4 linked regions of the Tamandua tetradactyla genome follow. The protein of the gene in region 3 interacts with the protein of the main gene of each other region in a pairwise test. Links are inferred from orthologs where the notes say so. Each region holds a gene or a part of one and is shown on either strand. Other genes may lie near its edges.

What was found.
Region 1: the proteins of RBPMS (region 3) and ATXN1 interact in binary tests that used the Homo sapiens proteins (3 or more experiments, as listed by UniProt). The link is inferred for Tamandua tetradactyla from reciprocal best matches to the Homo sapiens genes RBPMS and ATXN1.
Region 2: the proteins of RBPMS (region 3) and RBM46 interact in a two-hybrid assay, tested with the Homo sapiens proteins (2 studies listed by BioGRID and IntAct). The two-hybrid records come from large-scale screens. The link is inferred for Tamandua tetradactyla from reciprocal best matches to the Homo sapiens genes RBPMS and RBM46.
Region 4: the proteins of RBPMS (region 3) and keratin-associated protein 19-7-like interact in binary tests that used the Homo sapiens proteins (3 or more experiments, as listed by UniProt). The two-hybrid records come from large-scale screens. The link is inferred for Tamandua tetradactyla from reciprocal best matches to the Homo sapiens genes RBPMS and KRTAP19-7.

Annotation. Positions count from the first base shown.
Region 1 is NC_135351.1:19,862,315-19,870,464, reverse strand, and holds the start of ATXN1 (ataxin-1), read left to right. Parts: upstream 1-5,021; 5' UTR 5,022-5,231; intron 5,232-6,090; exon of another isoform or gene 6,091-6,404; intron 6,405-6,562; exon of another isoform or gene 6,563-8,150. UniProt on the Homo sapiens protein: Chromatin-binding factor that repress Notch signaling in the absence of Notch intracellular domain by acting as a CBF1 corepressor. Binds to the HEY promoter and might assist, along with NCOR2, RBPJ-mediated repression. Binds RNA in vitro.
Region 2 is NC_135348.1:12,148,773-12,156,884, reverse strand, and holds the start of RBM46 (putative RNA-binding protein 46), read left to right. Parts: upstream 1-4,940; 5' UTR 4,941-5,121; coding exon 5,122-5,170; intron 5,171-8,112. UniProt on the Homo sapiens protein: Essential for male and female fertility, playing a crucial role in regulating germ cell development by ensuring the proper progression of meiosis prophase I.
Region 3 is NC_135352.1:13,318,779-13,326,302, forward strand, and holds the start of RBPMS (RNA-binding protein with multiple splicing), read right to left. Parts: upstream 3,678-7,524; 5' UTR 3,632-3,677; coding exon 3,566-3,631; intron 1-3,565.
Region 4 is NC_135336.1:90,103,030-90,111,299, reverse strand, and holds the start of keratin-associated protein 19-7-like, read left to right. Parts: upstream 1-4,984; 5' UTR 4,985-5,089; intron 5,090-8,270. UniProt on the Homo sapiens protein: In the hair cortex, hair keratin intermediate filaments are embedded in an interfilamentous matrix, consisting of hair keratin-associated proteins (KRTAP), which are essential for the formation of a rigid and resistant hair shaft through their extensive disulfide bond cross-linking with abundant cysteine residues of hair keratins.

The sequences.
Region 1 (8,150 bases), on a different chromosome or scaffold from region 3:
ATACAACAATTATTAATGAGCTATTTTCTATTCTTTTTTTTTTTGGTACAGCTTTAAAATCTAGGGTGTATTTGTATGAGTCCCATTTCAAGGCTGACCATATTGGACAAAGCAGACCTAATGAAAGCAGGTGCTTTTGTTTTTAATTGTAGACAGAGTATTATTTTAAAAGAACCTAATGTGTGTACTGTTAAGCCATAAATTGTGGGCAGATATTTAAATACAATTTTAACTATATTCTTGAGTACATGACGATGATAATGTCACTGTCACCCAGAGGCTTGTCCTCCTGTAGTGCAGGCAAAGGGGCAAGGATGAAGATTCAGCACTGTGTATCATAAAAGTCTCCTTGCCAAGCTCCTAGCCTGGCTACTTAGTTAGGGCGTGGCTATATGACCTCAGAGTCCACTGTGTGAATGGTTTCATTTTTGTTTTTAGTTTATTGTACTCTTTTAGTCTCCCCAGCTTTATTTGTGTGTGCAATCTCAGGAAAGTATAGTGGTTTTGCAAGCACATAATGGTTTGCTCAGATTTAAAAGTGACATATGTAGGATAATACCCTCCTTCTAACAACCTGTTTAAGGGTCAGTGTTTCCATTAAAAATGCAAACTTTCCAGGATTTATTTCCCAGCCATCACAAATAGCTCTGGCAGAAATTCGGAGAAATTTTGTTCCTGAGCAACTGCCCTCTCCCAGGTTTTCAATGATTCTGGTATTTGAATCTCAGACTTGAAAGCCTGATTGGTATGATGATTCTGAGAGGGGCTGGGCCAATCACTGAGGAATCCTCCGAATCTTTTTGTTTTATCATGGTAAATATTAACCTTTTTCAAAAGATAAGATTTGTTCTGCTGTGAACTCTCTGCACACTGTGTCTTATTTGTCTTTGTCTTGTCAGTGCCTAGTCATTGTAGGTCCGTAATAAATGACTGCTGGGGAAATAAGTAAATAAAAAGTAATTTGAGAATTAAGACAGTGTCTTTTCAGTAATCACTACATAGTACTTTGAAAAACTGTTGAAACTGTCAAAAACAAACAAACAAAAAAAACACAAAAACAATGACCATGTGGCTGGATCCTTAATCTCTGTGATTTCATTCATCTGTGAATACCTCGAAGGTTTATTCTAACAATTAAATGACATATAATGAAAGCATGAGTTGGTTCTACAACTTTTTTGAGGCTGGGCTTCACCATCGATCTTACCTACATTTTGGGAGCTTTTGAGGATACGATACCAAAGAGCTATGGAAAATATCAAAATGCTGCATAGACACAATTGGAACGTATATTCTTGCTACTCCCAGGCTTAAGGACGAACCCCTACAATTACTGTCACTGTAAGCATTGCAAAAAAATGTACATACTTCATATAATTTGTGTGATTCCAAATGAAATGAATTTCTCTGATGCATGGTTAATTGCACTGGGTTAACTTAACGCCAATGTTTTTAGAGTAACAGGATTTACGCTTAGAATTGCCTTGTTTTGTTATCATGTGATCTTGACTTTTGACAAGAGAAAAACTAAGACATTTTATGACTTCTGAGGTCCACTTTCTTTTAAACTTTATACAACTCTAAATAAATATATCAACATTCTATTAAGCTGTCAAAGGCTGTTCTGATCTGTTCAATTATTTGGCTGTTATAACCTGGCAAGCTGTTTTGGTTTGTTTGTTTTATCTTGTCTTATACTACATAACAGTCTACTTCCAATAAAAAGGTATACTACAACGTAGAATCTGCTAGGCTTTGGGGGCCTGTACACTGTTTTATTAAGCACTCTCGTGCTCCCTCTGCTGCCATAAGGAAAACATTCACGTCTGAGACCCCAGTACATTTCTTAGCATAGTGTTCTCTTTTGACAATGATGATACAGATTTGTGCATAAATTAGGACTCTTCTGAAATGGAGTACTATCCGTTCAAAGCATATAATGTAATAATTTTTTTAATACCAAAAATCACAAAAAGGAGAGGAGGGAGTGGAAAGGAACAGATAAAAGAATTAAGTTCTGCACCTGTGGCCAAGTTCATTTAGCTAGAGCCCTGTAGTATAAACCAATGTTCCTCACAAGTACTTGGGAATCGCCCCGGGGGTCTGGCTAAAATGCAGATTTGCGTGCAAGAAGGGCTGGGGTGGAACCCTTGATTCTGAATGTCTGTAAAGCTCCCAGCTGCTGCTGCTCCAAGGACTACTCTTTAAAGAAGCAGGGATATAATATATAATTATATGATATAGTATTCACTTGATAGCCCTTTTTAAACCTTCCGAATTAGACACTACCAAAACAATAAAATAGATGCGATTATAATTATTTATCCATGGTATTTAAGCAATCCAGAGCACAAGCTAGGTAGTGAGTCTCAGCAGGCTTTATTTCTAAATTTCCTTTAATTTCAAAGGTTGACTTACACTTGTCTGAATATAATACGAGGTTTATGAATAGGACTCTAGGACTATATATTTGCCTACTGGCTGCTTGAAAGCCCTGCTCTTCTTCTTTCACTGAGTTTTTATTTTGCATGAGAAAATCTTGTTTTTAAAGAACCAGTGCCTGTTATTTGTGGCTGTGTGTTTAATATTTTGCCATCTGAGAACAAAGTATTTCAGGGCTAATGGTAACAAAAGTGTATCATGAGCATTTATGTTTATGTTGGACCTTGCAGAGAGAAATAGTTACAGATTTTAGTCACAGTTTATGGCTTTAATCTTAATGGCTAAAAAAGTAAATGGCACATTTCCTATTGTTTTTACTGTTTGGTGAGTATACATATTTAGCTTGCTTGAGGGAATATTTAAATTAATGGACTAGCGCTAATCTGAATTATGTGTTTTAATTTGCTTAAGGCTGTTAAAACAGCATAAATTAACTGCTTCTGTCACTGTAATAATTAAAATATTTGCTCTTTTTTTATTGAAAAGTCTCTAAATGTAAGATGTCTAAAAGTAGAGTGGAGGTGGGTTGGGCAGTCTGCAGATGATGAGTTGGAATAAAAACATCTCAGTTAAGCCAAAAACATGGCAACCAATATTTTCTGCTATAAAAATATTTTAGATAAATTTAGTTTTTATGAAAGCTGTCTGAAACGGAAAGAAATGGCAGAAGCTCTGTGCTTCTTCACAGGCTAGTAACAGTAATACCTGTAGCTCAAAGCCTACATCTTGTCCTGGTAAAGCCAACAAGCCCCGGCTTGATTCGGAAGTCGGCTCTGCCAAGTGAGGGAAGAGATATTATGTGGTTATGTTCTCCGATATTAACCTTCACTTTGATAAAGCTTGTCAACAGAAACAAAACCAAGCAGAGCCTTTCCAGGAAAATGATTTTAACTGTCCACTAGAGGCTGTAATGAGACCAACAATGTCACTTTAGACCAACCAGAGGTTTAAATTGTAACAATCATTGATTTTTTTAAATGGAAAAAAAAAAAGTTGTAGAATTGAGTAAGAGTGAACAGTAGTATCTCTATTTAAATAGCCCCATATATGTGCTCGGAGTTTCAAAATGTGAAAAAAAAAAATTTCGGGGCTCACTACCTTCCTAGTTAGTATATTTATTTTTTACTTTGGGAAGCACACGGGTTCTACGATAGTGTTGCTTAAATGCTTTTCTCTCGGTGATTCTGTATCCTGCTTTCAGTTGGTGACTAAGCCTTAAGTCATACGGAAATTCGGCCAGAGGCGTTTCAAATACGGAGTACGGTCAAACTTACGTGGAGAGGTCGTGCTTCTGTACGCTTGGTTCAGAGTATCTCAAGGAGGTCAGATGCTACTCTGACACCTACTGGCCTTCCAGAATGATCTGCAGCAAGGAGAACGCTGGCCGAGCTTCCTTGGCACGGAGATGCCTTTTCCCCAGGTGCCACACCTGTGGGCGAGGTGCACCCCACCAGTGAAGGTTGCTTCCCACCGAGCTCACACCGCAGGCGGTACACGCAGAGGAGGCAGGGCGGCGGAGAGTTAGAGGATCCGACTGAAAAATAGAGTCCGGAGGAAGTTCTTCGGCGTGGATTCTCGAGAACTGTCATTTGATGCTCGGTTGGCTTTTTCTATCTCCTACACTGCTTACCTCATTTCCGATTAAATTAATGATCCCGAATTAGCCGGAGAGGAGTTTGCGGGTCGTCACTCCCGGCTGGAGCTGAGCAGTTCAATATCTAAAGCAGATTTCCGGACCTGCAGAAAGAGAAAGGAGGGAAGGCGCAGAGGTCACCAGCTTTCGCCCGCAGTGAAGGTGAAGGCGCACGTGGAGTCGAGAAGACCCTTAAAACTTTCCTGAGTTGCGAAGACGAGCAAACCCCGCGGCCCCAGGGTCTGGGTTCCGGAACGGCCGGCTCTAAATCGGTTTCGGGGTTAACCTGCAGCTGGTGATCCGAATCAGCCCTCGCAGTCGCTTCTAAGGAGCGCCGGGGACCAAGGGCACGTCGGGGTTAGAGTGGAGCTGACCTTCCCTCCCCCTTCTCCCCCTTTCCCCCTCCCCGGGTTACGCACTGGCTCTGAGCCAGGCTTCAGCTGGCGCCCGCCCCCCCCCCCCCCAGGAGGGTCTCCCAGCGTGCCAGAGTTGCACCCCGCTGTTCGTACCTCCTCCCCGGCAAGGTGCAGGGACCGGGGTTGGCGCGCGGGGACCCACAGATCACCGCTAAAATGACCTCATCGCCTCCGCTCCCCGCCCCTTTCGCAAACCTAGAAGGAACCGGGCCCGGGTCCTTGTCTCCCCCACGGAGCCACTCTGTCGGGATGGGAAGTGGCGGCGGAAAGGAGCCGCCTTCCCTGAGGACCGCCCGACCCCGAAGGGTTAAGGGCGCGGGGCCGGCCGCTCGCCGTGATCGGTGAGGCTCGCCGGGCCGCCGGCCAAAGCTCCCCCCCCAGCCTCCTCCCCCCACAAGAAGTGAGATCCTTGAGCTGCGGCGGCGGCAGCCAACTGCTCCATATTTGGCTTCTATTACACATTTACATACTGGAGCGAGCGAGCTAGCGAGGGAGGGCGGGCGGGCGGGCCAGAGGAGGGAGGAGGCGGGGAGGGGAGCGCGAGGAGGAGGAGAGAGCAGAGTATACCGCAGACATCATTTCTACTACAGTGGCGGCGCCGTACAGGACCTGTTTCACTGCAGGGGGATCCAAAACAAGCCCTGTGGAGCAGCAGCCAGAGCAACAGCAGCCGCAAGACATTGTTTCTCTCCCTCTGCCCCCCCTTCCCCACGCAACCCCAGATCCATTTACACTTTACAGTAAGTGGCTGTTTTTTTTTTTTTCCTCCTCTCATTCTCTTCCCCCTCCCCCTCCCCCTCCCCTTATTTAGATGCCCCCCCACCCCCCGCGCTCTCTCGAGGGGGGCAAAAGAAACAACCAGCAAACAAACCCCAAACCCCAAAAGGCGGCACGGAAAACAGCTGGAAGAGGAGCGAAGGAAATAGACGCGTTGTGATGTGTTGTGTGTGTGTGTGTGTGTGTGTGTGTGTGCGTGTGCGCACATACAACCGTCCTGGGCTCTAGCCTCGCGGGGGCTCACATCCCCCCCCCCGGCAGGCAGGGTGGCAGGCCGGGGCTGGGGGAGTGAGGGTGGGCTTTCGCGAGGCGAGGGGGGCGCGCCGGGCTGGGGGCGCGGACGGCGGCGGAGCCCTGCTCCGAGTGCGGAGAACCATGTCGTCCCTCGGGGGAGGGGCGCAGGGAGCGGCGGCGGCGGCGGCCGGGGGTCGCGCTGCCCTCTCCTCCCGCTGCCCCCTCCGCATTCACCCGCCCCGGCGGGAGCTGCAAGAGCAAGTGGGTCGCGGACAGGCCGGGCTTCCCCGAGGGTGGCCGCCCGGCTTCGGCGCCCGGGGGTGGGGGTCTCCCCGCGCAGGCCGGCCTCGGAGGCGGTGCGGCTGCGGCCGGGGGAGAGGGCTGCGCCGGCCGCCCGGCCCGGACTTTGCGCGTGGCCCGGGGGAGTGGAGAGGTGGCCGCGGGGGGTGGGGTGGGGGTGGGGTGGCAGCGAGGGTGCGGGTGCCCGGAGCGCCGCTGGAGTGGCGGTGGCGGCCCCGGCTGCCGCCGCCCTGTTGGTGCTGCCGCTTCCTGATCATGTGCAGCCGCCGCCGCCCGGAGCCCGGAGTCCGCGAGCGCCCGCGGCTGGAGCAGGGGAGCCGCGGCGGGCGCTGCCCTGCGCTGGGAGTGAACGGCTGCGCGGCTGCTGGGAGGGTGAATGAAGCCAGGAGGAGGGGAAGGAGGAGGAGGAGGAGGCGGCGGAGGAGGCGCTGCGGGGATTGGGATGCGCCCTGGAGCCCCGCCGCTCTTTCACTCTGGGCCGGCCCGGGCCGGGGACTCTGCTACTCCCGCGGCTGCAGCCGCCTCCTCCTACGAGCTTCCAGCGCTGCGTGCAGGCCGGTCCCGCCGGGGGCAGGGAAAGGGCCGGACGCGCAGAGCTAGAGGTGAGGCGGTGTCGGAGCGGGGCGTGAGTGTGTGTGAGTGCGTGTGTGTGTGTGTGCGCGCGCGCGCGTTGGGGGGAGGGGGGAGGGCCGTCGCCCGATGGGGAGGGGGCGCCTCGGTGGCTACTTGGCCGACTCTGCAGCGCCCCGACCCCCGTTCAGCCCCCCGCCCCCAGGCCGCCTTCCTAAACTCCGTGGCTTGTGCTTTCATTTTATTTCAGACCACGTAGGAGGTTGACTGGAAGCGATGAAACAATTCAGGTTTTCTAGGGAGATTGAGCAAGAACCTTAGTGGGGGGTGGAAGTAGGGTGGTGATCGAGATTGTGCCAGAAAACAAAACAAAACAAAAAAAATCACAGTTTCTACGGACGATGGGGTTCGGGTCATAACCGTGGCTGCTCTGTTTTGTTTCGCTTTCTTGGTATATAATCCTACACATAAGATGGTAATATAAATACTTGAGAAGATTGGGAAATTGCTGAAGAGTAGTAATGGCAAAGAAAAAAAAAAAGCCAGTCGGAAGCGGGTTATATAATGCGCGATGTGGCTAACAAGAACGGCAAGCTATTTTTATTTTGTTTACCGTATGCTGTGCAGTAGGGACTCTTCCAAACTGGTTCTTTCCCCGAAGAGATTCTTAGCTTCCTTCTGAGATCCACAGGATACAATTAGCAAAATTAGAAGACCCCATTACACCCGCAGGAAAAAAAAAAAAAAAGAAAGAAAAGAAAACTAATGCCTTACAGTGGCATCCTCCCTGCAAATCCTATGGTGAAGGCACGGGAATGTTGTATGCAAATAAGTTCTGCTTTAGCAATCTAGTAGTCACATCTCAATGACATTTGTGTTTTATAATGCAGGCTGCTCTTAATATTTAAACATCATCATTCTGTATCGCGCGCAGCAGTGGGTAGTTACTAGATGGCTATTTTTAGGCACAGCTGGTTACTTTTTCAAAAATATTAGCTAAGCCTTTTCTTTTTGGGTTTCTGAGGAGTCCTGCAGTTCCTAGAAGCCCCTGCTAAGCCCACCCTCTGGTTTATTTGGTGGGTAATGATAGTTTGATACTTGGGCTTCTTTGGAAGGAAGCTCTGCCCCAGGAAACCACCAGAGAGAAGAAGGAGAAAATCCTGCACAGGAACTCTTGGAAAGGGATTGCACCATAACCGCTTGTGCTGTGCCATTTAATCTCCTTTGATTGCCCTCTAACCGTGCAGGCGTTAGTCAATATTTTAGCAGCTCCGTAAATAAATGGGCCTGCCTACTACCTTCTTCTACATAAAGCAGAGGTCGAAGGGCTCTCCTGAACCTCCTGCTGCCTGTCTTTCTCATCATGTAGATACATGTCAGTGGTGTAGGTTTTCGGTGCACTTACTCCAGCCCTGATCAGTCATGTAATTAGATCAGGCTGCCATGGTAACAGACAGTGTTCCTTGGTCCATTCAGGTGGGAGTGCCTGAACTACTCCAAGTGTTTTCTGCACAGTATTTGTGCTGCCCGAGCCAGACGAGAGACTTCACTATTTCAATTGCACCCTCTTTCAATTCTCTGTCATTTGGACAAGAGATACTGAATTAGGTTTCTAGCTACTCAAGTTTACGAAAGAGACCAAGAACCAGTTCTTACTCGGTGCGGTATGTAAATGAATATCTCTCTGCATGGTGAAAGGAGCCTGACAGCCTTACTGGTGTTTGTTAACAGATCAACAAGTATTTGGTACTTGTTAGAAACCTTTCTGAGCTTACTAG
Region 2 (8,112 bases), on a different chromosome or scaffold from region 3:
ACTAGCCAGCTCTGTGACTTAGGGCAAGTCATTCAGCCTTCCTTGCTTACTAAGGAGTCTTTCCACTCTAGTTCTATTGTAACTTGTTATCCAGTTATCCAAACTGCTTGTTATCCAAACTAGCAGTGCTGGTTTGAAAAGGTTTATGTACCCTAAAAAAATCCATGTTTTAAACTTAATCAATCTTGTGGGAACAACGGTTTCTTCTAATCCCTATTCAGCACTATAGGTTGGGAGCTTGATTGGGTTAACTCCATGGAGATGTGAATCAATCAACTGTGGTTATTAAACTTGATTAGATGGAGACTGTCTCCACCATTCTAAGTGGGTCTTGATTAGTCTACTGGACTCCTATAAAAGAAGAAGTACTTTGGAAAAAGCTACAGAATGCCACAGAACCATGAAGCAGAGAGTTCATCAGCCAGCAACTTTTGGAAACGAAGACGGAAAATGCCTCCAAGGAAGCTTCATGAAACAAGCTGGAAGAGAAAGCTAGCAGATTTTACCATGTGCCCTTCCAGCCAAGAGAGAAACCCTGAACATTTCTTGAACCTAAAAGTATCTTTCCCTGGATGCCTTAGATTGGACATTTCTATAGACTTGTTTTAATTGGGGCATTTTCTTGGCCTTAGAACTGCAGACTAGCAACTTTTATTAAATTCCCCTTTTTAAAAAGCCATTCTGTTTCTGGTATATCGCATTCCAGCAGCTAGCAAACAAGAACAGTAGAACACTTCCAAACTTCTCAGGTGAGATAAGGCTAGAAGGTTTTATCACATTCTTTTCCCAACCAAAGCATTTTTGGTTTTGAATCAGTCTTTTCTATCAGAAAGTTATTTCCATATACTAATTTTCTCAGGTTGAAGTTTAAGTCTATATCTCTGGGGGAGGGGGGACAGATTTTTTTACCTGGTATTATCTAATACTATTTATAATATAGTAATTGATTGAAAAACAAAAAGGGATGGCTGTATCCTGATGTGAATAACTAATACCAATCAGCAAAGGCTGACTTTACTACTTCCATTTGTTTGCACTTAAACTAATTGAGGTATTGGTCATGAGTTTTCCTGCTTTGTAGGCTGTTTGCTAAGTACAAAGAAAAATCTCTATTTCTGATTTGCCACCTGGAAAGGAGAAGCTGTTAATCACAGGAGGCACACTGATAGCATGTATAGATGGCTCATAATTGGAAAAAGCAATGCTAAGCACTTATTCTACCTTATAATCATCTTGGTGCTGACACTTACATTCCCAAGTAATGAAAAATTCAAATTAAAGCAATGCATCAGGAAGAAAGCATCAAACTAGGGTGCAAAAGTAAGGGTCAGAGAACTGGAATAAACATTTATTATAAACATTTTTTGAAAAAACCCACATTTCTGAAAAGTTCTTGATGTCATTGAGATTGGAGAGTGATAAGATTAAATTGTTATCATTGGCTCCTCAGCTGTAATCTATAGATCATTAAATCTATAAGCATGTAAGTAGTTGCCATGTTTTTGATGGATCTGTGCCATCATTGCCAAGTATGGATAGAGGAAGCTCCAACACATGGAATACAAACCAGACCTCTGCACTCTGTTCTTTCACATGAAACCATTCACCTTTCATTAGGACTAGGTTGGATTTTAAACAATTATAATAACTTTCCATCATTTTTCTTCTACATTGGGGACTGTACTTTATAGAAGGCTTGTAAAAATATTTCTAAATAATTAAAAAAGCTTACATTTCATGTGGGGAGGGGGACACATATACAAGATATCCAGACTGCTTTCATTAAATATGTTTTGTATATCCCGTCCAATTTTTTATTGGTAATCTTTTCTCTCCATATTCCACAGTGATGATATTTCTTTCCGGTGTTTTCAGAGCTCCATTTTTATTTCTTCCCTTGCCAACAGGCACCTTCCAACTCTTAACTTCTATTTCAATTAAAATACCTCCACATTTCTTATTTGTTCTCTTCCTATTCATTTGGATCACCTTTTTTCCTATAAACTTGTATATAAACTTGTAACAAACCCTAGTTTGGGATCTGTTCCTGAAGATGAATTCTGGCTGGTAAGTGTTTTAGCATTTTCTAGCAGCCCAGAAATATAAAGTTAAAGGCCATTTCTTTAATTTTACATACAGAGAATATAGTTTTCTTATCAGTTTCAGAAAAACACATCTGCTAATGAACTTTGGATAATAAAAGTTTAGAAGCATCTGACCAAAAGGATATATAATTAAAGTTTGGGAAGGGCCTTTAAATAACGCTATCATATCTAAAACAAGGTTCTATGCCTACACGAGGATCCCTTGTTTAGTTGGTTTTCTTCACACTTGGAAAAAAAGAAACGAAAAATTCCAGAAATGTGAAACAACCCTTCAGGCCACCTCCAAGAGCTGTCTTTTGCATTCCACAAGATAACATCTCCACCTAGCGACTCTTGGGTCCTACAGCAACTACTAGAAACAATTTGCATGTCTTAACAATTTCGGTTAATTTAACCTTAAAAAGGAAATACACTTCCATTTAAACTTACTGGGATATGAGACAGGACCAACATGAAAAGGAAGAATGTGGAAAATATTTTTTCTGGAGAAATAAAAGGGCAATCACAAATAATAACATGATATAATTACCATCTTTGCAGATGAGATAGAGAATTGATACCATTTTTTTTTAAGTAAAGTAGATATATTCAATATCTATATTTTTTGGTTGCTTTATTCTCAATGCATTAAGCTACATAAAAGGAGATTTGGCAGAGATTTAGGAAGGAATATTTGCTGAGCTTCCACTATGCACCTGGTATTATGCCAAATGTTTTGTTTCTGGGCACATTTTGAAATAGTATAACATAGTGGTTATTCCTGCAGGTTTGAGAGCCAAATTGGGTTTGAAACCTGTCTCCACGATTTACCTGAGTACAACCTCAGGAAAACACTAAAAATGGGACTAGTATCTTTGCCAGTTCCAGGGAGAAGTCAACTTATATATGAAAATTCCTTCGAATTGTGCCTGGCATGTATTAAATGTTCAATATTTGCTAATATATCATTTAATTTTCACCATTGCCATTTCAAACTGGGACACTCAGAATTTAAGTGATTTGCCGAGGTATCACAACCACCAATTGATAATACAGGGATTTAAGCCCAGGTCGATCTGGCTCCAAAGTCCTACCTAATTCCCCACTGTGGAGGACAGTGACAAATACAGATGTCAAAACATAACGCAATTCTTAACAAAGAAAATGGATGTTAATGCATTCATTAGATCCTTGAACATATGGAGACAAATTTAAACTGAAATCAGGAGTTAGTATGGAAGAAAAACACCTTGAAGTGGGAGTAGCGGGATAGGTGTTGTGCTATAGCCCAGTCGGTTATTCGGGGCTTCAGGTTCCTCATATGTTAAAGGAGGGTCTACCTAAGCCCTCTCCAATTATGTTATCTGAGTCTACACATGTTATCCTTAGATAATGACCCTAAAGCATACTCAAATAACGGAACTGGTTCCTTAAGTAATTTTTTTTCTGCCATTTAATCCTGAGCTCTACCATTAAAGGAAGCACAATTTAGGGTGTCTACAGAATGCCAAATGGTCCTATTTGCAAAAGCTGGTTTTACATAGGCCTAGAATCTGGTTCAGCAGCTCCATCACAGCCAAATCTCTCCCCATGCGGATTACTAGTAAAGTCTATTACCAGGTCTCCTAATTCAGCCCACATGTCTATGTATTTAACGCGTTTTAACTTTTACATTCCCACTATATTTGCCTTTTAACCTTATACTTCCTCAAGCACTTACTTTAAAAGAAGCCAAACTTAGGATATATTAGTAGTTTGACTTGAAAACTATGGTTAACAAGAAATAGAACCCACACAAATACAAGCAAAAAGTGCTAAACCACATATATTTTTCCGGAAGTACGAAAAAGTACGGAAGTTCAAATCATAATCTTCTGTTTTAAATGCCTTAACAAAATACTCAAATTTCCAACTAGAACCTACATTTAGCATTACACATCACCCACCAAACTCCCCAATTCTGTCTCTTGGTCCCAATTGGCTAACGTGACTACCCAACCCAGGAAATACTGCTCCCCTCTCAGTAGCCCGCTTAGCCTTTAAACCTTGGCCCCGCCCACCGCCCGTGGTCCGGGCTGGCCACTGATTGGTAGATGCTTCTCCACTCCACATGGGGCCGTCCACGCGTAATGCCTGATGGGAGCCCAGGCGAAGGCACGAGGACAGCACGAGCTCCTCCCGGTGGGCTCCCCTCCCCCCCTACGGTGGCTCCCCACTCCTACTGACTGGTCCCCGAAACGGTGAAGGCGGTTTGTGGTCGTTGGTCACGTCCCAGGGATTTATGACGAACATCTGAAGACCCGAAGGGGTGAGGAGGGGATGAGGGCATCGGAGCAATGGCCAAACCGATGGTAACGGCTGGAGACCCTGCCTCCCGGTGGAGTGGACACCCACACCCGGCTGGGGGCGGTGTCTGTGGGACTGACCCCTCCTTATTCTCAAAGCCCGTGGAGGGGCGGGGTTGGGGGGTGGGCGGGTGTCATAAATGCGTGTTCCCGGCCCCCGGCGGCCCGCATTTGATAGACGGCTGGCTCCCTTTCGCTGACGGCTCGTGCCGCGTGGTCTCAGGCGTCCGGCCTCCAGCTCAGCTCCCGGCCTCGGCCGAGCCCCTCGTTTGGCTCCTTCCGCTCCGTGGCGCCCAACCTCCCTCCGCCTTGTTTCCGCCCATCCCAGACGCCTTCCGGCCGCTTCTCACCTGCTGCCCTCCATATTTGTTCCCTAAAACTCTCCCTGCGTGGCCCACCACAGACCAGGGCCATCTGCTGTCCCTCCCAGCCGGCCGTTGCTGCGCCTGCGCGTCCCCTCTAGACGCTTTGGGACGACGCCCCGGGGGCGCCCCGACTGCCGGGTGAGGTTTAGCGGGCACGTCGTTTATGTCGAGGTCTAAGCGGCGATGAGCCTGGAACTTTCCTTTGTCTTTCACTTTTTTCCTGTCTCTCCTTTACGCCTCTCTGGTCTTTTGGGTTTTGAGCTGTGCAAAGCTGCTGGAATACGGGAACGATGACTGACTCCTCCTCCCCTACAGGCGGCGGGAGCCATGGACGGTAATGCACACATCGTAACATTTTTTGTGTCCCTAACATCAGGTAATTTCAGTTACTGATTACTTAAAATATTTTCTTTGGGATACTTGAGAGGCCGTCGAACCTGGAGTCAGGGGACCTGGGATTTAATTCTGGCGTTGTTCACGCTCTGATCCTTGCGAACATCTGTTGTTGAAGTTGGCTTTAAGCTCTAACACGCTTTACATTTTTGACAAATACTCTAGCTTTTTTATTATGTGATGATTCGACTGTAGGCCAATATATATAAGAAAATCAAAGTGGGACTGGCCGTAACTCTTCAAGACTTGGTTTCTCTTAAAAATTTGTCCCGCTTTTTGTGTATGGACGGCGTTATAACCGGGAAGCTCATGGTGCGTGGCGTGTATAATAGAGTAGCGTATATTCATTACGGTTATGCTTATTTTCAAAATCGGAAGGTATTTTCTTTTCAGGAATCACCAGTATACAGTTGAGGACTTAAAAAACTTCCATTGGTCTTTCAGAATTAAAGCTCCTTGTGAGCTGTGATCATTGACTTGTATGCACAGTGCAAAATTTTAAAATTCTGTTTTAATTTTTTTTTTGGTGAAATATTTTCTGCTATGGCATTATTTTAAGTGCTGATTTCCCCTTGAGAGTGGAGTGTTGGAATTGATTATTAATTATCAAAGGTTATGATACGTACAAACATGTATGTTACTGAATGTCTTAGGTAGAATTATTAATAACAACACACCCAGCTTATGAACTCAAAGTAAGCTTTGTAAATTTTTCGTGGTGTCGTTTGTGTTGTTAGGAAACGTAGTCCTGTTAGTTTAAGGGGAGTTTGTAATCAGAAATCAAATACGTGGTGTAAAAATTGTCCAGATTTGCACATTAATGCTGGGTGGTGTTTCCCATTTTATTTTACTAGTATTGGTTGATGAGGCAAGTAAATGAGGAAAGAAAGTATAATCTGTATGTTCAAACTGATAACAGATTCAAATATCAGCTTGTAAATAGTGTGTTTAATTTGGACAAGAACTTTTGTTCTACATGGATGTATTTTTCCTGAGTTCAGAGCTCATATTAATATTTCAAAGCAATATTTAAAAATTGTTAGTTAAAACTTATTTATTTATATTTGTTGCATGGGTAGGCACCTTGAATCGAATCCAAGTCTCTAGCATGGCAAGTGAGAACTCTGCCTGCTGAGCCACTGTGGCCCGCCCTACAAATTATTTTTAAATCGTTCAATTTTTCAGTAATTTTAAATTTAAGCCAGCCCTATGCAGTATTACTGGAGGTTGTGACACACTTAGTCCTAAAAGTTTTCATACATTTTATATTTGACTTCTAGAACTAAAAATGGGCTTTAATTTTTAAATAAAAATAATTAAAAGTGGATTTGAACTGATTCACTTATATAGTTTTATTGTGAAATAACTTCAGACTTACATATTCATACAGTTTTGATTAATCCTAGTCATTTTCAAATTACCTTTGCTATAATGAAGTTCCACTAAAATGAATAGCCACTAAAAAGTTTCCGTTGATCTGGGGTCCATGGTCTTGGTATACCATACTCAATAAAGCCTAAACTAACAAGTCAGGAATTTAATACCTTGTCATGTAGGGAATGCTAAAATATCTAAGTGCCTTGTATAAAAGTATTTTGATACTTTAAAATAATGTTTTCTCACTATCACATTCAGTTTTTCAAAACCATAGAGAAACTTATGTAATGTTCATTTTCACAACTTTATAAATTCTTGCAGTAATTCAGAATACCAGAGTTTCAGTTTCACAAAGCTGAAACGAATACCTTTAGAGATATAATTTTTAGTTATATTTTGCTAAAATAGTATTTGACATATTTTCATTAATGTAGTCTGTTTTTGAAAGGCTGTACAAATCTGTGAATTTAAATGTTTTCTAAGCAATATGATGTTTAAAATTAAAGAAGATATAGTTAGCCCTTAAAGCAAAAGGCTTAGTTCAAACTGCTGTCCTGTGATTGGCTGTGTTTATCTCCATTTTCTACTTCATAACTTTTTTTTTTTATTCTGCGTTTGAAGCTGAGCTAGAGAATAATCTTTGAAAGTCCGAGGTTTAGGAAAAGATATTTGTCTTTGAAAGCTAGAGTTTACACCTTTTAACCTACCCTGTCCACTTTTTTTTTTTTCTCCCCATACACCATTTATGTCATCATTTTGGTAAGGACCCCTCCATCCATTATTCAGATTCCTTTGGGTCGAGGGTAAGGAAAAAAAATGTAGAAAATTTTGGAATTTGAATCCACAGCTGTAGTAAATGACTGTGTGGAAAACTTTAGTTATGCCAGCTTTGACATAATGTATAGCACTGCTTGTGCTTCCTTGAACATTTTGATAACTCTCAGATTGACTCTGGAATATTTTAGAATGAATCTAAAGGTACTGTATCTGTGAGTAGATTTGATTACAGTTTTCTGATTAAGATTCTCAAGTTCTGGCTTTTTTGGAAGTGTGATCTGCATAAAGTTATGCAGTGTTAAAGTTTGATATTTAAATATTTTAAAAGTTTAAAAACTTTCCTTAATTGTATATGAGATGTGTATATATTACTGTTGTTTTGGAGACTTTGGAAACACATTTCTTTGTAAAGAGAATGGGGTTTGTGACTCCCCAGTGTGTCTTACTTATACTTCTGTAGTTTTTATAATGTTTTGATTGGAACTTACTGAAATGAACAAAGTCTACTGTATGTTTCTAGTCATTTTCTAGGAAAAGGAGTTGTTAATTTGGGGGCTGACCTATTATTTCAACATAAGATCCTAAATAGACTTTAAAAAAATGTAACCGTAGAGACACTGATGAGCTAAAAATATATGTCTGCAAGGTCATTGCAGGGGTGGGGTGAATTGTAGAAAGACATTTAGAGTTAGCTATGAATTATGGTTAAAAATGCTTTTCATTAATCAATTCTACATTTTGGATAAAATAGAAGCTGAAACCGTATTTATC
Region 3 (7,524 bases):
AGGAATGTAAAGTAAAGATTTGTGTTAACCTCTTAAGAACTGACTTTACGTGATTTCTGTCCAACATCTGCCAAACATCTTTCCGATTGATATTCCAGCAGTGCCAAGATTTTGCTATTTCAGTTTTGTTTTAAGCACAAGTCAGTTTGGTAAAAGTGATTTAAGGAGAAACTACTCTAACAGTGCTTCAACATAATAAAATGCCTTTTAGAAATGATTTGTAGTCAGCCTGAAATGTACATATTTATAAGATTTCGAAAAAGGAAATTTGTTTGAAAAATTCACTGACCAATAAGTAAATTATTTCTTTCTACTAGATAAAGTCTCACTATATTTGAATGTATTAAGACTTATGATAACTGGTTACATAAGACAAATAACTATGACCCATATTTACATTTTTTAAAATTGTAATAGTCTGATTGAGTGCAAACTGCCAAAGGTGTTTTAAGAGAATGTTGTCTGTTCCAAAATTAAAGGCAAATTCTAGAATTTTATTAATTGCAAAATGATGTAAAAAATGATGCCATATACATACATATATATACATAGGCCTTATAAATCTCAGCATCCATTAAAACCTCAACAACTGGTTTTTCTTTATAGGAACAACTTTATAGGAATACATATGTATAATACACTAAAACCAGAAAGCCAAGCAGAAAATTATCTCCCTTACACAGCTGGCTAGCCAAATCTTAGAATCATTTTTCCTCATAGTTTTAAGTGTTATCCAAAGTGGAAGTACCTGAACTGTCCAAGTTCTCAAAAACTTCCAACCCTAAAAAACTATAGAAATTATCATAAATCTTATTCTGTTCATTCTATACAACTGGAACCAGGTAGGTGTTTCAGCATCATTGGTTCAGAATAAGCATTAGAGGCTCTCATATAGGGCTAAAATATACAGGATGATAAATGGAACTCACTTAAAAAATATTTTAAAAACATATAATAGAGTAGAAATCCTAAACCACCCTAATGATAAATAAACTATGTTAATGATGATCGGACTCACTTTTCTATAACAGTTCAGAAAACACATTTTTCCTCATGTTATTGTATATACGCATTGTACATGTGTGCGCTGTTTAAAGCCAAAGCTTTAAACATGTTTGGGGAGGAATTGCTGATTTGCTGGGCAGGCAGAAAAGGGTCCAGTGCCGTGGTTTTATACAATGTTGAGCACATGAGTGGGACTCACCAAAAATCATATTTATTTTACTTTGCGGTTTTCAGGGTTAGAAAAAAAAGAGGTTAGGAGTTGTCCAAAAACAAAACATAAACCCAAACCAGGGAACTGATGCCAAATTACCTGGATCTTTTGGACCAATCTCTTTTCTTTTCCTGAATTGCTAACACTATACAGACCCTCTCTTCACAGTGTTATCTGTTAGGTGACACCCACCTCTCGGTCAAGTTGGATTCTGAAATTTTCTTGACGGTCCTCCTGTTTTTTTTTTTTTTTTTTTTTTTTTTTCTTAAAAAAGAGTATTTTTCTTAAAAACTAAAACAAAACACTGGCATTTTCTAGAGCCACATGTCATTCCCACCTGGAAGGGACAGAGTCAGGTCCACTGCACAGTGACGTCCACCGCGAGGGCCTGGGAATATACTCATTCAACAGCCTGGCGAACTCTAGCCAGAGAGTCCCAAGTGCAAGGCAGGCAACACCTCCCTTTTTGGCGTGCTTCAGTCGAGTGGGTCAAGCAGAAAGAAAAATGTGACTTTTCTCGGACTTGTGGTTCCAGGACACTCCAACCTCTTGAGCCACATACCAAAAGCAAAAAAAAAACAAAAAAAAAACCAAACTTCAGTTTGCCTGATTGACTTCTTCCAATTTATGAGTTTTCTCGATGGGGTGAACGGATCAAGATGATTTCAAACAATATGTTCTTACTCTTATAAGTAGACAGACTGCCAATCTAACTGAAATAGAAAGGTTTCTGAAGCAATTGTCATTTTGAGAAGTTGAGTGTATTAGATCAATACAGCAATCCCTAAAAGAGTAAACTTGCCATCATTTTAAAATTATAAGTGGTAAGGAAAAATAAATAGCAAAGCAGCCAGCAAGGATGAAGAAAAAAGTGGAATCTGCAGTTCAAGTCTCCACCTCTTTGAGAAAGAAAAGAAATACCAGTAGTATTACTTTCTTTGTAATTATGAAACAACAATATGTAAACACTTTTCAAGATAATAGTTTGTAATACAACAGATAATACCCTTAGGTGAGAAGGCAACTTTTGTCTTCATTCAATTCACTTAGGTTACACTAAAACACAGCAAATAAGCGTAAAATCTTATATTTATTTTGCATTTTTTGCATGGTCCTTGTTTCTCTCCTCTATCTTCCAGGTTTAAATAGTTCCCATATTACAAATGGACAATGCGCTTAAATTTATTAATGAATTACTCTCTAATGTTCGGTTTCACTGTTAGAATTTTCATTTGCACACAACACGGTATCGAAGCAATCTGATTCCTAACCGCTTTAGAATAAGTTTACCATTCCATGTTTAATTTATTATATTAGAATGCAAAACCTATAGGAATGCTTTATGGGTTATATCTAGATATCTGCACACACTATAGAATGTTTAAGAACTCAATTATATAAGATCTTGAACTGCAGATACGGTACCTGCAGGAATGGAGTCATCTGATAGGATACCAGCAAATATCCTAACTGCAAAATTCTGAAAAGTTTTCTCATGGGCCGCCCCCTACGTTTACTGACTTCTGTGTTTACACCAAAGAAACGCTCCGCAGCCAAAACATTTTTATGGTTTTTTCGGACGCACCAATAAAGTTTATGTTCAAAAGTCAAAGTGCTGTAAATACAGCCTCGATGGTCATTTGGTGAACGGTAAAATTTTTAACCCTTTTATTCTGCTCCCTACCTCGGCATCGCCCCCAAACTTGCTAAAGCTTATCGCCCACTTTCGGGGTCTTTGACTCATCAGAGGAGAATGCCGCGGATCAGAGAAGAATGCGGCGGATGTTATCTATTAATCCAAAATGCTTCAGTTTTTTGGTAAAGAAAAAGTTCTTTACCCAGAACTTTTAACTTTGAAAGGGCTGGGGACAGAAGAGTTCCCAGAGTTTCTCCCTTAAATCACACACACACACACACACACACACACACACAGCGCCTCAGCCTCAGTTCTAACCTTCCGGGTCCCAATAATCTGAGGTCACCCAAGAGTCACCTCTCGATTCCTCTTTTAAGATCGCGGGCAAACAAAGCTGAGCATTATACTTAGAAAAGTCTCCAAAAATGCTCGGAGTTACGCAATTTTAGGCATGCAGACGCGCGCAGACACACAAAAGATACACCCTCCCGGGGCCAAATTTGGGGTTATCTCTAGGGGCAAGGTCAAGCCCCAAACTCCCGTCTTCACACACATACACGCACACGCGCGCGCACACACACACACACACGCCTGCGCCCCAGGACCAGAGCCCGCGCCCCGCCGGCTTCTCCCTCCCGGCCGCCCGCACTTTGGAAAGAGCCGGCGGCTTCCATCCCCGGTCGCACCCACCACCGCACCGAACCATTCGGTACCTCTTCCTCCTGAAGGTTGGCCTCGCTCGGGGTGTTCTCCTTCTCGGCTTTGCCGCCGTTGTTCATCTTCCCGGTCCTGGCTCGCGGGGCAGGGCTGGGGCGCGGGGCTGGGCGAGGGCGCGCTCGCCCGCTCTTCCCTTCCCCGGGCGCCGGGGCTCCCTCGGGCGGGGCGCCGCGGGCTGCAGGGGCTGGAGCCGGGACAGCGGCGGCGGGCGCCTCAGGAAGTGCGCGGGAGAGACTGGGCAGGGCGAGGGCGCAGGCAGCCGGAGAAGGGAACGGAGACAATCGCGACCCGGGAGAAAGACCTGGAGAGGGAGGGCGGGCGCGAGGGAAGGAAGGAAGGAAGAAAGGATGGGGCGAGGACGCGCGTCCCGGGAGTGAGCCCAGAGAGTTGGGGATGTGGCCGAGTTGGGCTGCCACTGCCCGAGCCTAGCAGCCGCTGGAGCGAAAAGTCGGAGGTGGGGGGGGGGGGGGGGGAACGAAGGGTCCCCAGAGAGGAAGAGGTGGAGGAGGAGGAGGAGGAGGTGGAGGAGGAGGAGGAGGAGGTGCCGGGCAGCGGGGCTCGGGCCGCGACGGGGACGCTGGGGCCGCGAGAGCCGCTGAGTGCGCGCTCCAGGCAGGCTCTGGGAAGTATGAGATCCAGGCAGCTCCCTTTCTCTGGCCTTCCTCCCTCCTCTCTTCCCCCCACCCCACCCCACCCCACCCCGCCTCCCTTCCTCCTCCCTCCGCCCTCCCTGGACGTGGGCTGCAGCCTTCGGCCCTGAGGGACGGGACCCGGGCCGGCGAAGCCCCCTTGCGGGAGGAGGGGCTGCGCCGAGAGCGGCTGCCCAGCGGCCGGATGGCGCGCTCCGGGGAGGGGACGCGGGGCGGAAGCCCCCGACTTCGCGGTAGGTCCGAGGATGAAGGCAAGGGCGGGAGAGGGGAGAAGGTCCGGGTCCCCCCAACCTAAGTCGGCTCCGAGGGCCCCGGGTGTCCGAGCCGGGCCTGAGTTGGAGAAGTCGCGTGTGGGGGCACGTGAGCGTGCAGAGGGGCTTCGGGGAGCCAGGCCCCTGCCGGTGCGGGGACCCGGAGCTGTAATGGGTTACTTTTGTTGGCTTCCTTTTCAGGAGGGCTTTGCACCCCTCTCCCTAAGTTTACCCCTCCTCTTTTTTGTACTAGTTCAGACATAGCTTCTTCCCCCTCTGAACCGGCAGATTGAAATGACGGGGTGAAGTAACTCAAGAGACCCGGGGAGAGCCTGCCCAGAGCCTGCTTTTTCCCACCCTAACTTGAAACCTACCTCCTGCGCGGGTTCTCGGAAGTCTCGCCTGCCTCCCCGCACCGACTGTGGCTTTGCGCCGGATTTCCCAGGGCCCTCGCGGAGACCCCTTTCTCTTAGCCCTTATCAGACTGTTCTGGAATTATTTGTTTACCTGGCTTTCTCCCTTGCTCTTTTGGGAGATCCTTCCTGGAAGACAAAGACCATGCCCTGTTTATCTTTTTAATCCCGTGACTATTTAAATACACGACTTAGTACATAGTAAGCACTCAATAAATATTTGTTGGCTAAGTGAATATTCCTCACCGCTAGCAGAACTGGAGACACTACAGATGATCTTTAAAAGGCTCAAAGTAAGTATAAAGAAAGGGGCCTCAGTGTTCTGGGAAGTAAGCACGAACTGTTTCCTCGTCTGTAAAAGGGGAATGCTGAGGTTTATCTCCCAGGGTTTTGCAGATAAAAGGAGATAATGGATGGATAGATACAGAGATAGCATGTAGCACCCCTTCTTGCCTAGTTTAAGTCCAACCGTAGGTGGAAGCTAACATTAAGAAAATTGCACTTGTTACTACTGGGCCAAAGAGAGCTTCTCCAATAATGGATCCTTTAAGCTTTCAAACTCGACTGCTAGGAGCATAAAAATGGAAAACCCCATATTGGTAGGTTCTCCTCCACTTCCTGATCCCCAGGAATTCTCTCTCACAGCCTCCTGTTCCCTCCCAGCACCAATCACAATTTCTAATTATTTGCTTGTTTAACTTTATCTCTTTCTCCCCTCACCAGACATTCTTTACTCTGCGCTGGTTTAAGAGCTGCAGGGAGTGGGCTGGGTGTGGAGGTGGGGGTTGAAGATAAGGCCCCTGCCCCAGGGAGTTAGTGGTGTTGTGGAGACAAGCTACCCAAAACTATTTCCCATCAACACAATCTCAGAATTCTGGTTCAAATTGCAGAAAGCAAAGTGAAAAAATATTTGCATTATGACTATTATGAAGAGAAAAACAGTAAAGTGGTACTTGGACCTAAATTGGGATTTATTTGGAGGTCCGAAGCTTTTGATAAAGAAGCTTACTGTAGAAAAAAAAATACTTTTCTTTAATTGCTGTCATAATATCTTTCCTGTCTATGGGAACAAAAATATATCCTGGCTGAAAATAAACCAACTGTCTATTGAAGTGGTGACTTAAGAATCCAGAAGAGTCAAGGGCTACAGTTCCTCCCAAAACTTGGTAACTCTTGGTTCTCCTTGTATTGGCCAGTATATGGATAGTACACCTTGGCAAAGCCCTTTCCACTGCTAATACTCCCTCAGTTGTATGAGGTCACCACCTGGGGGCAGTGTCTTCCTGAGCAACGAATGAGTGGTGGTCTTGGACCCCTATGCTTGCTAGGAATGCCAGCAGTTTGCCCTCCTTGGCTATCCCAGCCTGCTGCTGAAGACACACCACAGAAAGGCATTGTCTTGTTGGCATCTGGCAAAGGCCCAAGAAAAGTGGCCATTGATCTGGTCACTGATGGTTCCAGTCAGACCCCACTTATGAGAAGGTGGAGTATGTTGTGTGAGTCCAGGATGCTGGGGGGACCTTCCCTGCCCCTGCCCCTGCCCAGGGAAATGTGGCTTGATTCCAAAAGTAAAAACTTGATTCTTTGTCTTGAAGCCAAGTTGAGACTTTGTCCATTGTTAGAAGTCAAAAACCCCAGGGATAAAAAAGGAAAATAAATTCCACGAGAGGACCCTTGTCTGGCTTGTTCATCATTATGTACCAAAGATCTAGACAGTGCCTAACACTCACATGACACTCAGTAATTATTTTTGAACAAATGAGCACATTAAATCTTATCAGTTATTGACTCCCTGGCTCAAATGACATCAAGTCTTTCTAAGACCCTGTGGGAAGGGCTGAATTAGTGGTGGCATCTTGAACAGCCCAAAGGGGCATCATGGCAGTGGTCTTCAGTCATCCTTTTTCAAGGGACAGACCCTAAATTAAGAACTTGTGCAGAATGGGACAACTGATGAGATTTCAAGAAATAAAAAATGTAATTACACTGCTGTATCGACAGTAAAGGAGGAAGACCTAGGAAATACTTAATGGTAAGAGCGAAATTCAAGGTGTTCCCAGAAAAGTGCGTAAGGTTCGGGTTATATGCTGTGAAAAAGAGAGATTTCTGTTTTCTGACCATTTTGTAAAGAACTGTTTAGACCTGTTTGAAAGAACAATTGAGCAATGTTGTATTATCAAACAAGACCCACTGAGAATCTGTAAACAGACTTTTGCTATTTATAAAACTTTGGGAATGAAGGGAGTTTGACTCTGGAGAAAATAATATGCATTCAATCAGGATATAAATGGTCTTTATGACCTGTTTACTACTTAAAAGAAAAAAAGTGAGAGCTTCTCAGTAGCAATAGTTTCTTGGTATACAAAGAATTCTAAGACAGCAAATGGGATATAAGTCCTAGAAACAACATGGGGTAATGAACAGGAAACCTCTGCTTCCTCCCCTGCCCACCACCTTACCACGTTGCCATTTGGCCCACGAGGTTAAATGCTTGATTGAAAAGGAAATACTGTGTACACCTGTAGTTTTTATTACTCATCCCAGTTGCTCTGGCAGTGTTCATTTTTGAGGTTTGCTTTAAGAAGTTCCAACCTATAATTATGTCTTAAATGTTTGTCTCTGGGAATTGCGGACATTAAAA
Region 4 (8,270 bases), on a different chromosome or scaffold from region 3:
GACATAACCACTGACCCCAAAGAAATAAAAGAGATAATAAGAGAATACTATGAACAATTAGCTATATGCTAACAAACCTACAACTTAGAAGAAATGGACAATTTCCTATTAAAAGATGATCAGCCAACATTGACTTGAGAAGAAATAGAACTCAGCAAACTTATCACAACAGATTAAATGAGTCATCAAAAACTTCCCAAAAAAAGAGAAGTTCAGGACCAGATGGCTTCACATGTGAATTCCACCAGCACTCATGAAAGAATTAGTTCCAATCCTGCTCAAACTATTTAAAATAATTGAAGAGGAGGGAAAGCTACCTAACTCATTCGATGAAGCCAGCATAACTCTAATGCCAAAACAAGACAGAGATACTACAACAAATGAAAATTACAGACCAATCTCTAATGAATATAGATGCAAAAATTCTCAAAAACATACTTGAAAATCAAATCAGCAGCACATTAATAGAATTATACACCATGACCAAGTAGCTTTTATTCAAAGTACATAAAGGTGATCCAATGCAAGAAAATCAGTTAATGTAATAAACCACATCAAAAGAAGAAAAAAGAGAATAATCTCAATTGATGCAGAAAAGGTATTTGACAAAATTCAGCATCTGTTCTTGATGAAAACATTTCAAAGGATAGGATTAAAAGGAAAGTTCTTCAGCATGATATAGGGAATGTATGAGAAACCCACAACTGACATCATAGTCAATGGGGAAAGAATGAAAGCTTTCCCTCTTAGATTAGATAAAGAGAAAGATGCCCACTGTCACCATTGTTATTCTCCATTGTGCTAGAAGCAAGAAAAAGAAATGAAATGCATCCAATTGGAAAGGAATAAATGAAACTTTCACTGTTTGCAGATGACATGATCCTATATGTAGAAAATTCCTGAAAATCTACGGCAAAGCTACTAGAGTTAATAAATAATTGCAGCAACGTGGCAGATTAGAAGATCAATAAACAAAAATCAGCAGTGTTTCTATAAAGTAGTAGTGAGTAATCTGAGGAGGAAATCAAGAAAAAATCCATTTACAATAACAAACAAAAAAATAAAATATTTAGAGATAAATTTAATCAAACCACATAAAATACCTATACACAGAAAACAACAAAATATTGCTAAAATAAATCATTGAAGACTTAAATAAATTGAAGAAATATTGTGTTCATGGATTGGAAAACTAAATATAGTTAAGATATCAATTCATCCAAATTGATTTATAGATTCAATGCAATACCAGGTTAAACTTCAACAACTTTTCAGAAATAGAAAAACCAATAATCTTATTTATTCGGCAGGGCAGAGTCTCACAAATAGCTAAAAATATTTTGAGGGAGAAAATGAAGTGAGAGGGCAGACCATGGTGGCTCAGAAGGCAGAGTTCGTGCCTGCCATGCCAGAGACCCAGGTTCATTTCCCAGTGCCTGCCCGTGTACAAAAAAAATGAAGTGGGGGAGGTCTTGCACTACCTGACTTTGAATCATACTACAAAGCTACAATGCCAACAGAGCATGATACCTGCATAAAGATAGAGTGACTAATGGAATTTAATGGAGTGCTCAAATAGATGCTCTCATTGATGGACATTTGATTTTAATAAGGTGGTCAAAGTCAATGCAACAGGGACAGAACAGCCTCTTCAACAAGTGATGCATGGAGAACTGGATATCCATATCCAAAAGAAAGAAAAGAGCCCTAGCTCACACCTTATAAAAAAATTGACTGAAAATGGTTCAAAGACCTAAACATTAGAGCTAAGACTATAAAACTTTTAGAAGAAAGCATAGTGAAATATCTTAAAGATCTTGTGGTAGGAGATGGTTTCTTAGACCTTACGTGAGCCAAGAAAGGAGAAATAGATAAATGGGATCTTTCAAAATTGAATAATTTTGCATGCCAAAGGACTTTGTCAGGAAAGTAAAAAGCACCAATGATATGAGAGACAATATTGGAAAACCACACATCAGATACGGGTTTAATATCCATATATATGAAAGAGATCCTACAACTCAACAACAAAAAGACAAATAACCCAATTTAAAAAATGGACAAAAACATGGATAGACAATTATCAAAAGTGAAAATACAAATGGTTCAAAAACATATAGAGAAAAGATGCTTAAGTTCACTAGCAGTTAGGAAAATGTAAATCAAAACCACAATGAAATATTATCTCATACCTACTAGAATGTCCATTTTTAAAAACAAAAACAAAGACAGACAACTATAAATGCTAATGAGACTGTGAAGAAATAGGTACAATTATTCACTATGGTAATGTAGGATATTGCAACTGTTCTGGAAAACCATTTGGTGGCTCCTCAGGAAGCTAAGTATAGAACTGCCATATGATCTAGCAATCCCATTACTAGGTGTATACTTGGAAGAACTGAAAGTAGGGACACAGATGGACATTTGCAAGCTGGTGTTTACAGAGGCATTATTCATGATTGTCAAGAGATGGAAATAGTCCAAAGATGTATCAATAGATGAGTGTATAATTTGTGGTATACAAATATGATGGGATATCATACATGTGGAAGAGGGAATAAAGTCATGACACAAATGCGTCAGTGTGGATGGAGTTTGAAGACAAAATGTTTAAAAAAGAAAACTTGAAATAAAAGGACAAATACTGTATGGTTTCATTAATATGAACTAACTATTATAATGGAACCCTGAGAGTTAAATTTGAGAACACTGGCTATCAGCAGATAGAAAAATCGTGGAAATTGGGCATTTGATACTGAAGGAATACACAATGTTCAACAGGATTGGTTGTAAAGATTCAGAATCAGATAGAACAATATTGTATGATGGTAGCACAAAATTGTAAGTTTAATGAACAAAACTGAGTGTATATTTGAAAGTGGAAGGCTAGGTTCATGTGTGACACCAGAAGTAAAGTTAGAGGATAAAAACTGGATTTAAATAATTTAGTGAAAACTACACTGGACAATAATGGTTATCAATAGTACAAATATACAAAAGTTTTTTACATAAGAAACAACGAATGAATGTCATCATTGCAAAGTGCTGAAAATAGGATGGTATATGGAAAAAATACACAGTAACATTGCAAAATTCTCTCACTAATTTATCAAAGGCAAAATAGCAAAGCTAAATATCAATAAGGGGGATATAAATGAGGAGTATGGGATTCTTGTTTTGTTTCCTTTTTCCCCTCTTCCTCGTTCTTTTGCAGAATAGATAATTACCAGGAGCCATTTATTGTACATTTAGGATGAATTATATGGTGTGGGAATAAAACTGTTTGAAAAATAAACAGAAGGAAACAAATGCTGGAGAAGATTGGTGTGAGAGATGTAACTATTATTTGTTGGTAGGGAGGTAGAATGATGCAGCCCTCCTGGAAGGCAGTGTTGTGGTTCCACAAGAGGCTGAGTATAGGGTTTACATATGCTCCTGCAACCTTGTTATTAGGCATATGCATGAAAGTACTGAAAGCAGAGACACAAGTAGACACTTGTACATTGATGTTTATTGTGGCATTATTCATGGTTTGCAATGGATGGAGGTGGCATATGGGCACAATGACTAATTAATAAATGGGCAAATGGTGATGAATACATATAATGGAATATTGAGTAGCTGCAGGAATGAATGAAATGAGGCATTACAACTAGATGAATGAAACTTGAGGACATGATTTTGAGTGAAACAAGCCAGAAACAAAATGATAAACATTGTGTGGTCTCAGTAATATAAACAAAATATAATGAACAAGCTCTGAGAATTAAATTCTAGAGCATAGTTTAATAGGGGATAGAAAGTGGGTAGATATTGGAAAATCAGTGATTAAGAAGTATAAATTGTTCAATAATGCTCATTGTGAAGGTTTTCAAATGATAAATTCTCACAGCAGTCAAATTTTTACTGAAATTTAACAGTTGTTGCTAAATATTGAGATGCTGGCTCTTTGTGTATAATTTGGTAGTTCTTCCTGGAACTTTGGCTATCTGTGTGACACCTGAGACTCAGAGTTAGATTTCTGCAGCTCTTAAATTCAGCATTATTCCATAGAGTGACTGTTCAAGAAGCTGAAAAAGAGATCAGACTTCAATTACAGTTATGAATGAAACAGATTTCGTTAGGGATAAACTAAATTGGACTACAAGGTAAGAGATGATATTACCTGTATTTCAAAACCTCAAATTCTATATGAGACCAAAGTAAGAGATGTTTACTTGTTACAAAATTTAACTTTTCCATAGCACACTATTTAATTTAACCTGTTTGATCAGTTTGTTTAAACAACATAATTACATTGGACATAGAATAGGGAATGAGATCACATTTTTCTGTACAGGTTAATGTAATACCCTAATGTATTCCAGAGTACCTTGGGAAGAAGATAAAAATTATTTGCCGAAAATAAAAATAAAAATAGATAATCATTTGCAAAGACTGGGGAAAATTGTGGAATTAAACTTCCCCACCTTGGGGAATTCCTTATATTTTTCAAGCATTAGTGAATCCCAATTTTAATAAGCCTTGATCTTCAGGCTTGCCTTTATAAAATTTATTTATGCAATGTTGAAGCTAAGCCTCCTTATAATTATTCCTAAGAGCCAAACCCAGAAAACCTCTTTTAAACCAACTGTGGAAATAAACTCACTACACTCCCTAATGCATGGGACATGATACCCAGAGTTGTAAATCTCCTGACAGCGATGACCCTGGCCTTGGCAGCATGAGATTGAAAATTCCTTCTTGTCCAAAGGTGTGTGTGTGGGGGAAATAATGAAACAAAATAAAGTTTCAGTGGCTAAAAGATTTCAAGTAAAGCTGACAGTTTATTCTGGAGGTTACTATCCTTATACAAGTTTCATCCACATATTGCAAAATTGCCACAATAAACCAAGCTCCAACAATGGTATTTCTGAAAACCCTAAAGAATTCCATGGACTTTATCTAAGACTCCATAAAAGTTTCTCTTTTTTTTTTTTTCAGGAACTTTTAGACTTCCAGATTGTTCCTATGCCAGATAAGTCCTGAAACCAAAGGTGACAGTCTCTTGAGAACATCAACCAGTTTTTTCTTCTACTCTATAAAGGTAACTCCCCTTTCCAGCATAAAAAAGTTAAAATGGTTATTGCCCGGATACCACTGAAGATTGAGAAAATGAGCAAATGAGAGAGAGGAGGTGTTACTGAGAAATTAAGATTTAACAAATGCCTGAGACTACTGACTCATTATATAGGTAGTTATTTTTAAAGTCCAGTACTCTAGAATAGCCAGAAGAAAATACCTGAAGTTCTTGAATTGTTATCCAGTAGCCTTGATCTTTGATAATGATTGTATAATTATATAACTTTTATCATGTGACCATGTGTGCTGATTTGAAACTATTATGTACCCCAGAAAAGCCATGTTCTTTTAATCTTAATCTAATCCTGTGGCAGCAGACCTATCCTTTGGCTGGAACATTTTTATTAGATTATTTCTATGGAGATGAGACCCCACCCATGCAAGCTAGGTCTTAATTAGTTTACTGTAATCCTTAAAGAGCCAATACAGAGAAAAGACACAGATATTTGGAGATGCAGACAGAAATATTCCAGATGCTAAGCAAGGACTCACATCAATAGCTAGAATCTGGGAAGAACCAAGGGAAGCTAAGAGGTGAAATTCAAAGTTTGCTCCAAAGAAACCAAGTGAGGGCCCACAGATGCCCAATGGAATGAGAAATCGAAAGCAATGAACCAAGAGCAAGGACTTCGGAAGTCAGCTATGTGCCTTTCCAATTGACAGTGGTGTTCCTGATGCTGGCTGCCTTTCCTCCAAGAAGTGTCCTCTTGTTGGTGACTTATTTTGGACATTTTCATGGCCTTAGAATTGTAACTTAACAAATCTTCTTAATGAAAGATAATCCATTTCTGTTTTATTGCATTTTGGCAGCTTTAGCTATTCAAAAACAGATTTTTGTACCAGGGAAATGGGGTGCTGTAATAAGTAAATACCAGAAATACCAGAATGCCTTTAGAAATGGATATGAGTAAGATTCAGGATGAATTTAAGAAGCATAAAAGAAAAGCCCTAGATTGCTTTGAAGAGACTGTTGTTCTCTTCACACTAAAAGTGGTTCTGATGAATTGTTAGATAGAAATGATAAATGTGTTGTTGCAAACTGGAAGGAAGGTGACCCTTGTTTTAAAGTGGCAGAGAATTTGGCAAAATTGAGTCCTGGTGTTGGATGGAAGGCAGAAATTGAAAGTGATGAGCTGGTATACTTAGCAGAATGGATCTTCAAACTAAATGTGGAAAAGGCAGCCTTGTTTCTCCTTACAGCTTTCAGTAAAATTCAACAGGAAAGCTGAGAACTGAACTCTTAGTACAAAGAAACCAGAAACTGATAGCTTGAAAAATTCTGAGCCTTTGGAAACGAGACTCCAGAGAATATTACCTCATGTTAGGATTTAACCAAACATAGAATTGTCAGCCATTACAGGACAAGCTGGAATTGGAGATGAAGTTATCCAGAAAGGATTTGTGCATAACTGTATTGACAAATGATTGTGATTTCTGTGTGCTGCAAAGAAAACCAACAATTTTTTGTGAGATTTGTATAAATAGAACCACTGCTGGTCTGTACTAAAAGGGACAGAAAAGGTACAGATTGAAAGAAAAATTACTTCAATGGTAGAACAATGAAAGCTAAGATATGAAGCCAGAAAATCCCAAGTCAGGGGACCAGATATACATATGCATGTGGAGGGTTTGCCCCTAAGGTAGGGGTAGGCCTGCCCCTTTGATGCTTAGGTAGAGTTTTCCCTCCTTGGGATGGAGCACATTTCTGAAGGATTGGAGAGACACTGTCAGATAGCCCACTGTTCTGAAGGGGTTGAGCATATGTCCCAGAGACAGCAAAGAGTCAGGGTGCTACCCAGATGCTTAAAGAGAGTGGGGCCAAAAAACAGGAGTTCTCCCCAGTGCTTGGTGATGATGGAATGTTCACTCCAGTGTTTGGAGAAAACAGGGACATTCTGCAAGCCCTTGGAAAGGGTGGGGCTGCTGCTCTTTCTAGCCCTAAAGATTAATAATCTCAAGACTTTGAAATCTAATAGTGCTTGCCTTGCAGGTTTTAGAAACTGTTTAGGACATTTGACTCTCATTTTCCTTCTGATATCACTCTTTATAAATGGGGGCATTTATCCTATGATTGTCATTCCTTTGTATATCACAGCAGGTAATTGTTCTGAGTTCCACAACTCCACAGCCAGAGGGGAATTTTGCCTTAGGACAGATCATGCCTGTAACTGACTTTGATAAGATTTTGTACTGTTTTTGAGTTGAAATTGTATTTATATTGTTATTGAAATTGTTTAAAGGTTTTGTGATATTGTGGTGGAATAATGTATTTTATATAGGGAAAGAATATGTGTTTTGGGAGTTCAGAGGGTGGAATGTGCTGATTTCAAATTGCTATGCACCCCAGTAGAGCCATATTCTTTTAACCCTAATCCAATCTTGTGGGGACAACCTGCCACTTAGGTGTGTTGTTTTGATTAGATTATTTTTATGGAGATGTGGGCCTCACCTTCAAGTTGGGTCTTTATTTGCTTACTGGAGTACCTAAAAGAACTGACACAGAAAGCAGACACAAACAATTGGGGATGCAGACAGAAATACCCTAGGTGCTAAGCAAGGACTCACAGAAATACCCAGAATCTGGAAAGAGCCAAGGGATGTTAAGAGATAAAATCCAGAGTTTGCCCCCAAAGAAGCTAATTGAGGGCCCAGAGATGCTTTTAGAGAAAGCCACTGGAATCAGAAGTTGAAAGCAATGAACGGAGAGCAAGGACCTCAGAAGCCAGACATGTGCCTTCCCACTTGACGACAGTGTCTCACATGCTGGCGTCTTTGCTTCTGAGAAGGTATCCTCTTCTTAGTGTCTTAATTTGGACATTTTTCACATCTTAGAATTGTAACTTGTAACTTGATAAATCCCCAATCTGTATATGGCATATTGCCTTCTGGCAACTTTAGCAAACCAAAACACCATGTTATTGTAAAAATATGACTGACACTTCCTTTATCCAGTGTATGGATAGAGTAATACAATAAAGACTTTTAAGATATATCATTATATCTGAAATAACTTTATTGTAAGCAGTATATAGACACATATAGTGTTTAACTTTATGGGTAGGGTATAACACCCAGTAATCAAATAGTAAACTAGGTGCTACTGTGAAAGCATTTTTGTAGATGTGGTTAACATCAACTATCAGTTA